Linked DNA regions of Arabidopsis thaliana. The protein of the gene in region 2 interacts with the protein of the main gene of each other region in a pairwise test. Each region holds a gene or a part of one and is shown on either strand. Other genes may lie near its edges.

Region 1 (5,262 bases), on a different chromosome or scaffold from region 2:
CGTGGTTTGATGGTATTGATTAAGTTTTAAGAAATCTTACAAAGGAAATTAAATGAGCTTTGTTGTTGAACAAAAAAAAGGAAATGAGCTTTGTGATATAATTTTCTGCTTACATTGAGATGATTGATATACTATCTACCACCAAAGTAGTTTATGAAATGTTTTCTCTCATCAAAAGCAAGAATAAGACCACTATTTCCAAAGCGTTGTTGATCAACAACAGAGTTTGGACACACTTAGTAGTCCATGAATCTGATTGTAGAGATGATCCCAAATTGGTCACTAATTGATGTGAGTGCAATGATGCTATACATACTACTGTACATATATACTAGATATTACCCACTGCTGTAACCAGCAAGCTCATTAATTATCCCCATGATTCAATAGTCATCCTTGCTTTGCCTTTTTGCTTTCTGATTAACCAATTTGTTGATAGACCTAACCGGTTTAGTGTAATCAGGATCCGGTTTGCTTTATTTGAAGAAATCTTATTTGAAGAAATTCTTTTTAGTTGTGAAAGATTGTATTTGACTTCCTTCCCAACTAACTCTGCCTATTTTCCTACTAATCTCCACCAGTAATTAAGTTTGGCTTTGTTCCTACACACGTGCAAATGACTAATGAGTTCTAAAACAGTTTGGTTATAGCTTACCTAGGATTGAATTGATTAGTTGATTGGATTATAAGCTATATATCCAATCAATCCTTATAAATATTCAATAAACTGTTTTGCAAGCAATCTCAAGGAAAATTTGAACTTTGAAGTACAATACATCACTTTTCAGGTTTTCAACTTATTCCTATCATTTTATTTATATTTCATATATTTATTTTTAATGTTCTTAAGTATTTAGGCTATGTTATTATATCTTATCTGAATGTTAAAAATAGAAGTCGGTAACCATGAAATAGAAGTCGGTAACCAATGCTACATTTCATGTTTTTTTTTTCAATTTAAATTTGTTAGAGAACTGAGAGTACAAATTAAAAGCCAACCGTCGTAGACAAGACAAGAGAGAAAGTTGGTGATGTGCTTGAAGACCAAATATATGTTTGAGCAAATAAGATGTCAAATTCATTTTTATAAAGTACAAAGCCACTGATATATCAGTCAGTTAACCTATTAATTAATTAAGACACAGAGTCGTTTTAGGGTTTCCACGTTGGTCCGATTTAAGGAAAATAAAACATTTGGTTAGGTCTGAAAGGTTTAACAAAACATATCCAACGATATTTAATTACTTTATTCTACTTATACGTGACCTGCAATTAAATCATAGGTCCCCAACATCTTTACCAAACTCTCTCCTTCCCCTCCAGTATTTTTCTCTTAACAATGTATTGATATTTTCGAAGTTATAAAACCATTTTAAAACTTGTAACAATTGTCCATTAGTTATACCAAAAGGCAATACGGTTGAAATTTAGTCATCGAGTTCGATCCACAAATCCTGAAATAATAACCGTTACATTCCCCCTTAATTCTGGACGTACGAGTTCGCCTTAGTTATTTTTTATTGTTGATTTAATTTGCGGTTATGTAAAATTTCATAAATTTGGAAAATATTGTCCACATGTAATATACATAGCTAGACTTTTGAGATTTTCATTGCTTGTAACATTGTTGTTTTATGTAGTTAAACACTAACAAATGTAAGTTTTATTTATTTCTTTCAAAGTAACACTAATACAACATCATAACAGGTAAATGCAACTATAGATTTTGCAATCTAAATGTTCGTTCTTTGAACCATATATTGTAGTTAACTAATTATAGCGTTCTCCCACCTTGATTCATATTCTAGAAGTTGTCCATATATAAAAAGCTGACCATAATAATTAATATACATGTGTACATGTAGCTTGTAAAAGGTTATACGAACGTAGATGAAGTATTGGTGGCTGAAGTAGAGGGTTTAGGTTGGAAAAAAATATATTTAAGGGTAGACGTTGAAAGTTTAACGAAAACACCCCACCAAGCAATCTCTTCCCTCCTGTGTAATCTCCTTTTTTCTTTTCATTACTCATCAATTACTCAATTATTAAAACTCTCACATAAACCAAAATAATGTATATAAAAATTACGAAATAAATGGAAAAATAAAAAAGGGTAGATTACTTAAAAGGAGTGTGTTTGGTTAGGGAAGACGTTGGCATCAATCGCCGGTGAAAACCTCTCTCCAAACTTTCCCTCACTCTCTAACGAATCTTATTATATTCATTACTTTCAATTCTTTATATAATATCTAAATAAATATACTTATATAAATACATGTATGTATGGTGCTGTTGCTCTTCAGCTTTCTTCTTGTTCCTACATACCCATCTTCCCTCACCTACATCAAACCTAGGGTTTCTTAACTATATCAACAACATATATAAATTTATATATAGGTTGTGATTTATTGAAGATCATAAAGATCAAAAGGAGAGAGGTATTAAAAAATGATGTGTAGTCGAGGCCATTGGAGACCTGCAGAAGACGAGAAGCTAAGAGAACTCGTCGAACAATTTGGTCCTCATAATTGGAACGCCATAGCTCAGAAGCTCTCTGGTCGATCTGGTAAAACTGACTTTATATTAAAGTCATTTCTTTAATTTCTTACAAAGCATATATAAACTAGGGTTTAATATATTTATATAAAAATATATATGTTGGTTTGATTGGATCTTTTGGTTTCAGGTAAGAGTTGTAGATTGAGATGGTTTAATCAATTGGATCCTAGGATTAACCGAAACCCTTTCACGGAGGAAGAAGAAGAAAGGCTTTTAGCGTCTCATCGGATCCATGGGAACAGATGGTCTGTGATCGCTAGATTTTTTCCCGGTCGAACTGATAACGCTGTTAAAAACCATTGGCACGTCATCATGGCTCGTCGTGGCCGAGAACGGTCCAAGCTCCGTCCACGAGGCCTTGGCCATGATGGCACGGTGGCTGCGACTGGGATGATTGGTAATTATAAAGACTGCGATAAGGAGAGAAGATTGGCAACCACAACCGCTATCAATTTTCCTTATCAATTCTCTCATATTAATCATTTTCAAGTCCTCAAAGAGTTCTTGACCGGAAAGATCGGGTTCAGAAATAGTACTACTCCAATACAAGAAGGTAATTAGATAATATGGCTTGAATTTCTGTGTTTATGTAGCTAATATAGCTGCACAAAGATAAAACATGTGTAGCCATACGTATATTGTATTTTGTGTGAATACATATAGGCATATATAAATTACGAACTCATAGAAAACATGTACATTCGTCATATTAATGTGCAAGTAAATGAGTAATGGTGCATTAATTCGTATACAACTTGATTTAAAAAAAAAAACGATTTTTGTATAGATTATATGGGTTAAAATTCATTGTTTTCTGTAAACTCTAAATTAATTTTTGATCAATTTTTTTTGTAAAGATAGTATGAAACGATCATGATTTTCATAGTTACATGCATGCATATGGATGTACACTTGCATGTGGGTACGATTACATACTTGTGTAACTTCCAAAACTAACTTTTGGACATGGATTAATTTGTCAGGAGCAATAGACCAAACTAAACGACCGATGGAGTTCTACAATTTTCTTCAAGTAAACACGGATTCGAAGATACACGAATTGATAGATAATTCAAGAAAAGACGAAGAAGAAGATGTCGATCAAAACAACCGAATTCCTAACGAGAATTGTGTTCCATTTTTCGACTTTTTGTCTGTTGGAAACTCTGCCTCTCAGGGTTTATGTTAATTTGTCCGTACCACATGTACTATAAGGTGGACCATATGTTAATTAAAGATAATGTAGAAAGTACTAATCAATTAGAGCTCTTGTTTGAGCCAAATGTGAAAATTAGTTAAGCCATCCCAAACATGTTCTTGTATAACAAATATAAGGTTGTACTTTTCCACCTTTATCAGGTCTAATTTTCTATTTTTATTTTAAGGATGTTTAATCAGACTCATCACCATTCGGTATTTTTTTTTCTTCATATTTACAGAAATTCAATCAGACCAATCGATAAAAAGGATTGAGCAGAAGTTAATTTATTTTAAAACATTATTAAGTTTAAAGGTTTGTCATGAAACCAATCTTAAACTGAAATTCTGAAGTAAAACCAAAAATTTATTCCAAACTGGCCTAGTTTCACTTTATACTCATTTTGGCTATGGACTATGGTATATATTGTCTAAATTACAAGATGCGTATGTACTGAGAAAATTCTGTGTCCTGAATCCGGATTAATCTATAAATTATCGTAATAGAAGGACTTGAGAGTTGAGACCAAGATTTTATATTTTGTGGAATTTAATTTGCAATCGTCGGATATAATTTTTGTGTTGTTGCGTTCTTAAGGAAGATCAAATATTATAAGGTTTGATTATTAACCGAAGAAAATATGTCATTGGTGCCTAAATATATGTACCACCAAATGAACATCCTTTTAATACAGTACTACTTAATTATAATTTCATGCAGACTATTTTGACTCATATAACTTGTGATGATGATATCAAAAAAAGAAAAAGTTTTTTTTTTTTTTAAACTAGTGGTTTTATTTATGAGAGCCTTTTAACTTCTAAAATAAAGTTTGGTTTAGTTTCTTTAATTGTGTGAAGAATAATAATAAGTTAATAACGGAAAGACGAAATCGAGGTTGGAGTATAGATATGATTAAGTTGGGAGTAGTTATCAGCCACCAAGAAATACAATCAAAAGTAGCAATCTACCTTTGTCTAGCTTAAGAAAACACGAATAAAATAGTTCGTTTTATTTAGGTGGAGATGAAGAACACACATCTTGACACGACTTATAACCATACAATTCTCCATCCGAAATTAATATATGAATTTATATCATCGAGTTTTCTTTTTCTTTTCAATTTACTTTTTTCTGAAACTGATGTCATTATGATTGCTAGGGTTTCCTCGTTGAGTTAGATATGTATGTCACCTTGATTATTATTGTTTAAGACAATACGAAAGAACAACCCAAAAAGATAAGCATAACTGTATATACATATTTTATTATGGAAGATAATGAAACGAAACGTTGATCATTGTACAAAGATGTTGAATTAATCAAATTTTGGATAAGATTAAGACACCCACTAGAACAAGAATGTATTAATTTCTGATTGGATGTGTGTATATATTTCCTAGAATCACTTCATATGAAAATAATGACGCGAATCGTTGAATATTTTTCAGTGGTGACTAGTTGATTAATTGTTCAAAATAGTTGAAATTTATCAGATATAGATA
Region 2 (5,566 bases):
GAAATCCTATATTCCTAGCTAGCATACTTTAAAGTTTAAAATATGGAATATGCTTAATATTAAAAAAAGAACGATAAGGGCTAAGACGACTTGGTAAATGTACTAATAAGTAATTTACTCCGACAACGAAAGCCGGCGACGACCGGCGTGTTCTGTAAGAAATACATTAGAAATGACAGAAACCGTGTTTCAAAGACCAAACCAAACCAAACCCCAACAAAATGTTTCTTCATTTTCTTTAAAATTAAGATCAACCCGTTTTTGATTTTCTTGATCGTAACCAGTTTCGTTATCCATGGGTGATCTAGCCAAGCAGATATTGTCTCGCCCGATTCAACTTGCAGACCAAGTGGTGAAAGCCGGAGATGAAGCCACAATCAACAAACAAGAATGTGCCGATATCAAGTCCAAAACGGAAAAGCTCGCTGCTCTTCTCCGTCAAGCGGCCCGTGCAAGCTCCGACCTCTACGAACGTCCCACGCGCCGTATCCTCGACGACACTGAAAACGTTCTTGAAAAAGCATTGACGATGGTCCAAAGATGCCGTGACGATGGCTACATAATGCGACTTTTCAACATAATCCCCGCCGCAGCATTCCGTAAAATGATTTCTCAACTAGAAAACTCCGTCGGCGACGTCTCTTGGCTCCTCCGTGTCTCAACTCCAGCCGGTAACGATGACGACGAAGGGTTTGGTTACTTAGGTCTCCCGCCAATCGCAGCCAACGAACCAATCTTGTGCTTAATTTGGGAACAAATCGCGGTTCTGATGACCGGTTCGCCGGAAGATAAATCAGACGCCGCCGCGTCGTTGGCTTCTTTAGCAAGAGATAACGATAGATACGTGAAACTGATAGTTGAAGAAGGCGGAGTCAACCCTTTGTTGAAACTTGTAAAAGAAGGTAAAATCGACGGTCAAGAAAACGCAGCGAGAACAATCGGGTTACTGGGTCGTGACCCGGAAAGTGTTGAGCATATGATTCAGCTTGGTGTTTGTTCAGTGCTTTCAAGTATTCTTAAAGAAGGTTCGATGAAGGTTCAAGCCGTTGTGGCTTGGGCTGTTTCAGAGCTTGTTTCTGGTAATCACGCCAAATGTCAAGAACTGTTTGCGCAAAACAACGTGATTAGGCTTCTTGTGAGTCATTTAGCGTTTGAAACGGTTCAAGAACATAGCAAATACGCGGTTGTTGCGGGTAGAGCAACGTCGATGCATCACGCCGTCGTAATGGCGAGTAAAATCAGTAGTAGTAAAGAGAATTTACCGGCGTTGAACGAGGAGGAGGACGACGATAATCATATCGGAGTCTCGAGTCCGATGACGAATCAGATGCATAGCATCGTTGCAACAACAATGGCGATGAAAGCGGTTGGATCAGGATCGAAATCGAATCTTTCTAGCCGATTTGTTACCGGCGACGACGATAAACCCCCGGAAAAGATACCGGAGAAGAGTTATAGTATGAGTTCACAGATCAAGGCTTACGGTAGTATCGCACATCAATCGCGAAACGCGTCGGTGACGAGAGGGAGAGAGCTTGAAGATCCGGTGACGAAGACTTATATGAAAGCGATGGCGGCGAGAGCGTTATGGAAACTCGCTGTAGGAAACTCATCGATCTGCCGAGTCATCACCGAGTCACGAGCTTTACTCTGTTTTGCGGTTTTACTAGACAAAGGAGACGAAGAGACTAAGTATAACACAGCTATGGCTATCATGGAGATAACCGCCGTGGCTGAGGAAAACGCAGATCTGAGAAGATCCGCGTTCAGACGCACTTCACCGGCGTGCAAAGCGGTGGTTGACCAGTTATTCCGAATCGTTGAAAACGCCGACGCCGGATCCGATTTACTCATCCCCTGTGTAAGATCCATCGGAAACCTAGCGAGAACGTTCAAATCAGCGGAAACGCATATGATCGTGCCTCTGGTAAAACTCCTCGACGACGGAGAACCAGATTTAGCGGCGGAGGTAGCGATCGCGTTAGCGAAATTCGCGACGGAGGATAACTTTTTAGGGAAAGAACACTCGAGGACAATCATCGAAGCTGGAGGATCAAAGCTTCTGGTTCAGTTAGCGTATTTCGGAGAGAACGGAGCACAGATTCCGGCGATGGTTTTGCTGAGCTACGTGGCGATGAATGTTCCAGACAGTGAACAGTTAGCGAAAGACGAAGTGTTAACGGTATTGGAATGGTCATCGAAGCAAGCTAATGTACTTGAAGATGAAGATATGGAAGCTTTGTTGTATGAAGCTAAGAGCAGACTCGAGCTTTACCAATCAAGAGGATCTAGAGGCTTTCACTTGTAATTTTCCCATTGAATGAATTATTAGAAAATACTAGGATTTGATTTCCACGTGTGTTCCAATGATTTTTTATGTAGGTGACTCTGTTTTTTAACCACTATCAAAAAGTTGTATAAAGTTTTATTTTTCAATACCTAATTTTGTGTATTGACAATGAGAGATCACTGATCACCAACATTTTGTAGTTTTGAAAAGCATAAGCAAAAGCTGCAATACCATAGCCTGAAGCTAAAAGTACAATTTATTTGATGGATATTGATTTAGTAGTAACCAGCCGAATCGGGAAATAAAATATAAAAAAGGCCATACCAAGTCCAGCTTAAGCCCATCAGAGTAAAAATCTTGGACCACAAACAATTGGCCCAATGTAAAAATTGGACTAAGATCCCAATCTTATCGCGATTCACTGTAAGAAAATCATAACGTACGACCACGATTAAAATTCAAGCGTGGACGCGTGCACAGCTGATAAACGGACGTGGATAAAAAAAAAGTGAAATAGCAAGTTTCCTAAATTTCTCCAGTCCCAAAGAATATTCCACCAAAATTTTTAATTAGGCGGCATAGTCAAATTAGGGTTTAATTACATTCCCCACTAAAATTAGGGTTTTCTCATTAATTTCCTCTTAATTACAGATTTAATCCCACTCTACCTCTATATATATATACACACACACGCCTAAGGATTTCCCAACTTAAAAAACCCTAATTTCTCAATCTCTTCTTCAACTTTTTTTTTTAACGATGGCTTCAGAGGATCAATCGGCGGCGAGATCTACCGGGAAGGTGAACTGGTTCAACGCTTCTAAAGGCTATGGTTTCATTACTCCTGACGATGGCAGCGTAGAGCTTTTCGTTCATCAATCTTCAATTGTCTCCGAAGGTTACCGGAGTTTAACCGTCGGCGATGCGGTTGAGTTCGCTATTACTCAGGGAAGCGACGGTAAGACTAAAGCCGTCAATGTTACTGCTCCTGGTGGTGGTTCTCTCAAGAAGGAGAATAACTCTCGTGGTAACGGTGCTAGGCGCGGCGGCGGTGGAAGCGGTTGCTACAATTGCGGTGAGTTAGGTCATATCTCTAAAGATTGTGGTATTGGTGGCGGCGGCGGAGGTGGTGAACGTAGATCTAGAGGAGGAGAAGGTTGTTACAATTGTGGTGATACTGGTCACTTCGCTAGGGATTGTACTTCAGCTGGAAACGGTGACCAACGTGGAGCCACCAAAGGTGGAAACGATGGTTGCTACACTTGCGGTGATGTTGGTCACGTGGCTAGGGATTGTACTCAGAAATCAGTTGGAAACGGAGACCAACGTGGAGCGGTCAAAGGTGGAAACGATGGTTGCTACACTTGTGGTGATGTTGGTCACTTTGCTAGGGATTGTACTCAGAAGGTTGCTGCCGGAAACGTCAGAAGCGGTGGTGGTGGTAGTGGAACTTGTTATTCATGCGGTGGAGTTGGTCACATTGCAAGAGATTGTGCGACTAAGAGACAGCCTTCTCGTGGGTGTTACCAGTGTGGTGGTTCTGGTCACTTGGCTCGTGATTGTGACCAGAGAGGAAGCGGTGGAGGAGGTAATGATAATGCGTGCTACAAGTGTGGTAAGGAAGGTCACTTTGCAAGGGAATGTTCTTCTGTAGCTTAATCGATTTCCTAATCAACAAAACAAAAAAACAAGAATGAAATTGAATCGAGTTATATAGTTTGGTATATATTACTCTTCGTTTTCATTTATCTTTTTTTTTGTTGTTGATGGGAATGAAATTGCCTGGTCCTTTTGGTGTGTTTTTGAGCTTTTATTATTATACAGAGTGATCCCTTTTTGTTATAACTATTACAAGTTTTTAGCTTTATTTGATATGGATGCTCTCTCCTTTTCTTCTATCTGTTTCTGGAAATTTTGACCTCATCATATTACTTATGTCATCCAAAGTTTGAGTTTTGTCCTTTTTATTAAAGTGCTGCTAGTTTCAGTTCATTGCTTTTGTACTTGGATGTTTTGACTATTAGCAGCACAGGTATGACGTCTCAAGTTCAATAGTACTTTTTAACCCTTTGACACAAGATGAATCCAATCCACTGGTTCTTTTGTTGTTGGTAATTGTTATAGACTTTTTAGCTTTATCTGATATGAGTGACATCCCAATTATCAATTGTGACTTAATTAGTAACCTGTGAATTGATGGATATGATTTTGCAGTTTCATCCTTCTTTACCAATAAAGGACTGGATACAAATCTTGTGGACAAAGTTCAAGTGATGACCTCAGTCTTACCTGATTAATCCCTGCTTTGTACAGTCATTTAGGGAATGTCACAGTCGTTTTAAAGGGTTAAAAGTTTGAACCTAATTCACTATTAACTAAATCCAAGACTGATGACGAATCTTCCTGATAGAAGAAACTGGAAACCAAAGTTTGGTGTTCACCTTTTCATGTCCAAACAAAGCCACAAAATCATATGATCATTGGTTAGAAGATTATAGTAATAAACCACATATAAAAACCTGATTAGGTTAAACATCATCCACATCTCCTTGTTTATATCATCACTTGGATCCAATCAACGAAAACCTTGCTAATCACCTCAGATCGCATTAATCACTAATATTTTTCATGGTATTAAGTTCCATTGTCATATAGATGTCTCTTGAAATGGTAGCTTAATGAGCAATTTTAAGGTTATGGATCAATTTCTTTTGATATTTGGTCAGTTTTTTTTTATTCCAAGTGCAATCGAACCTGCAACTTCTACTAGTTTTACATCCAAAAACTCGGATCTTCAACCACACATGGATTTAAAGGTTATACTTCATTTTATAGAAATATGCACTAAACATAAACGCAACTATATAGCCAAATCTCTAATCAGTCATACCAATTTTGCTTGGATGTTTGGAAAGAAGATCAAATTCAATAAATTTGCATAGTAGAAACATACATGAGACCTACCCCACTTGTAGTATTTGTTTTTCCTATTTGAACATAAGAACCGGTCACATGTCTTAGTCAAAACATAAATAACTTGTAACAATGGAAGAAGCATGAACCAACAAAGTTAATATCTCTACATCACACAACTAAACCTTGGAATGTCGTTGACCCAACACCCTTTCTTTATAAAACAATCTTTACGGAAATTCTCATCCAACGTTAGCCACTGTATCTCTTTCCAATAATAACTCAAAAAAAAAAAAAAAAAAAAATTGTATTCCTCTCCTGAACTTCTGTATTGTATGTTCCTGCTTGAATTCTAAATAGAGA

The links.
Region 1: the proteins of CSDP1 (region 2) and MYB52 interact in a two-hybrid assay, tested with the Arabidopsis thaliana proteins (one large-scale study listed by BioGRID).

Annotation. Positions count from the first base shown.
Region 1 is NC_003070.9:6,175,316-6,180,577, forward strand, and holds MYB52 (myb domain protein 52), read left to right. Parts: upstream 1-2,165; 5' UTR 2,166-2,448; coding exon 2,449-2,566; intron 2,567-2,686; coding exon 2,687-3,112; intron 3,113-3,542; coding exon 3,543-3,748; 3' UTR 3,749-3,974; downstream 3,975-5,262. UniProt on the Arabidopsis thaliana protein: Transcription factor that confers sensitivity to abscisic acid (ABA) and salt, but tolerance to drought. Regulates secondary cell wall (SCW) biosynthesis, especially in interfascicular and xylary fibers.
Region 2 is NC_003075.7:17,041,826-17,047,391, reverse strand, and holds CSDP1 (cold shock domain protein 1), read left to right. Parts: upstream 1-2,830; 5' UTR 2,831-3,049; coding exon 3,050-3,949; 3' UTR 3,950-4,401; exon of another isoform or gene 4,402-4,504; 3' UTR 4,505-4,593; downstream 4,594-5,566. Other genes in the region: ARO3 (armadillo repeat only 3), read left to right, coding at 296-2,308. UniProt on the Arabidopsis thaliana protein: Chaperone that binds to RNA, single- (ssDNA) and double-stranded (dsDNA) DNA, and unwinds nucleic acid duplex. Exhibits a DNA melting activity. May be involved in cold resistance. Prevents seed germination under dehydration or salt stress conditions.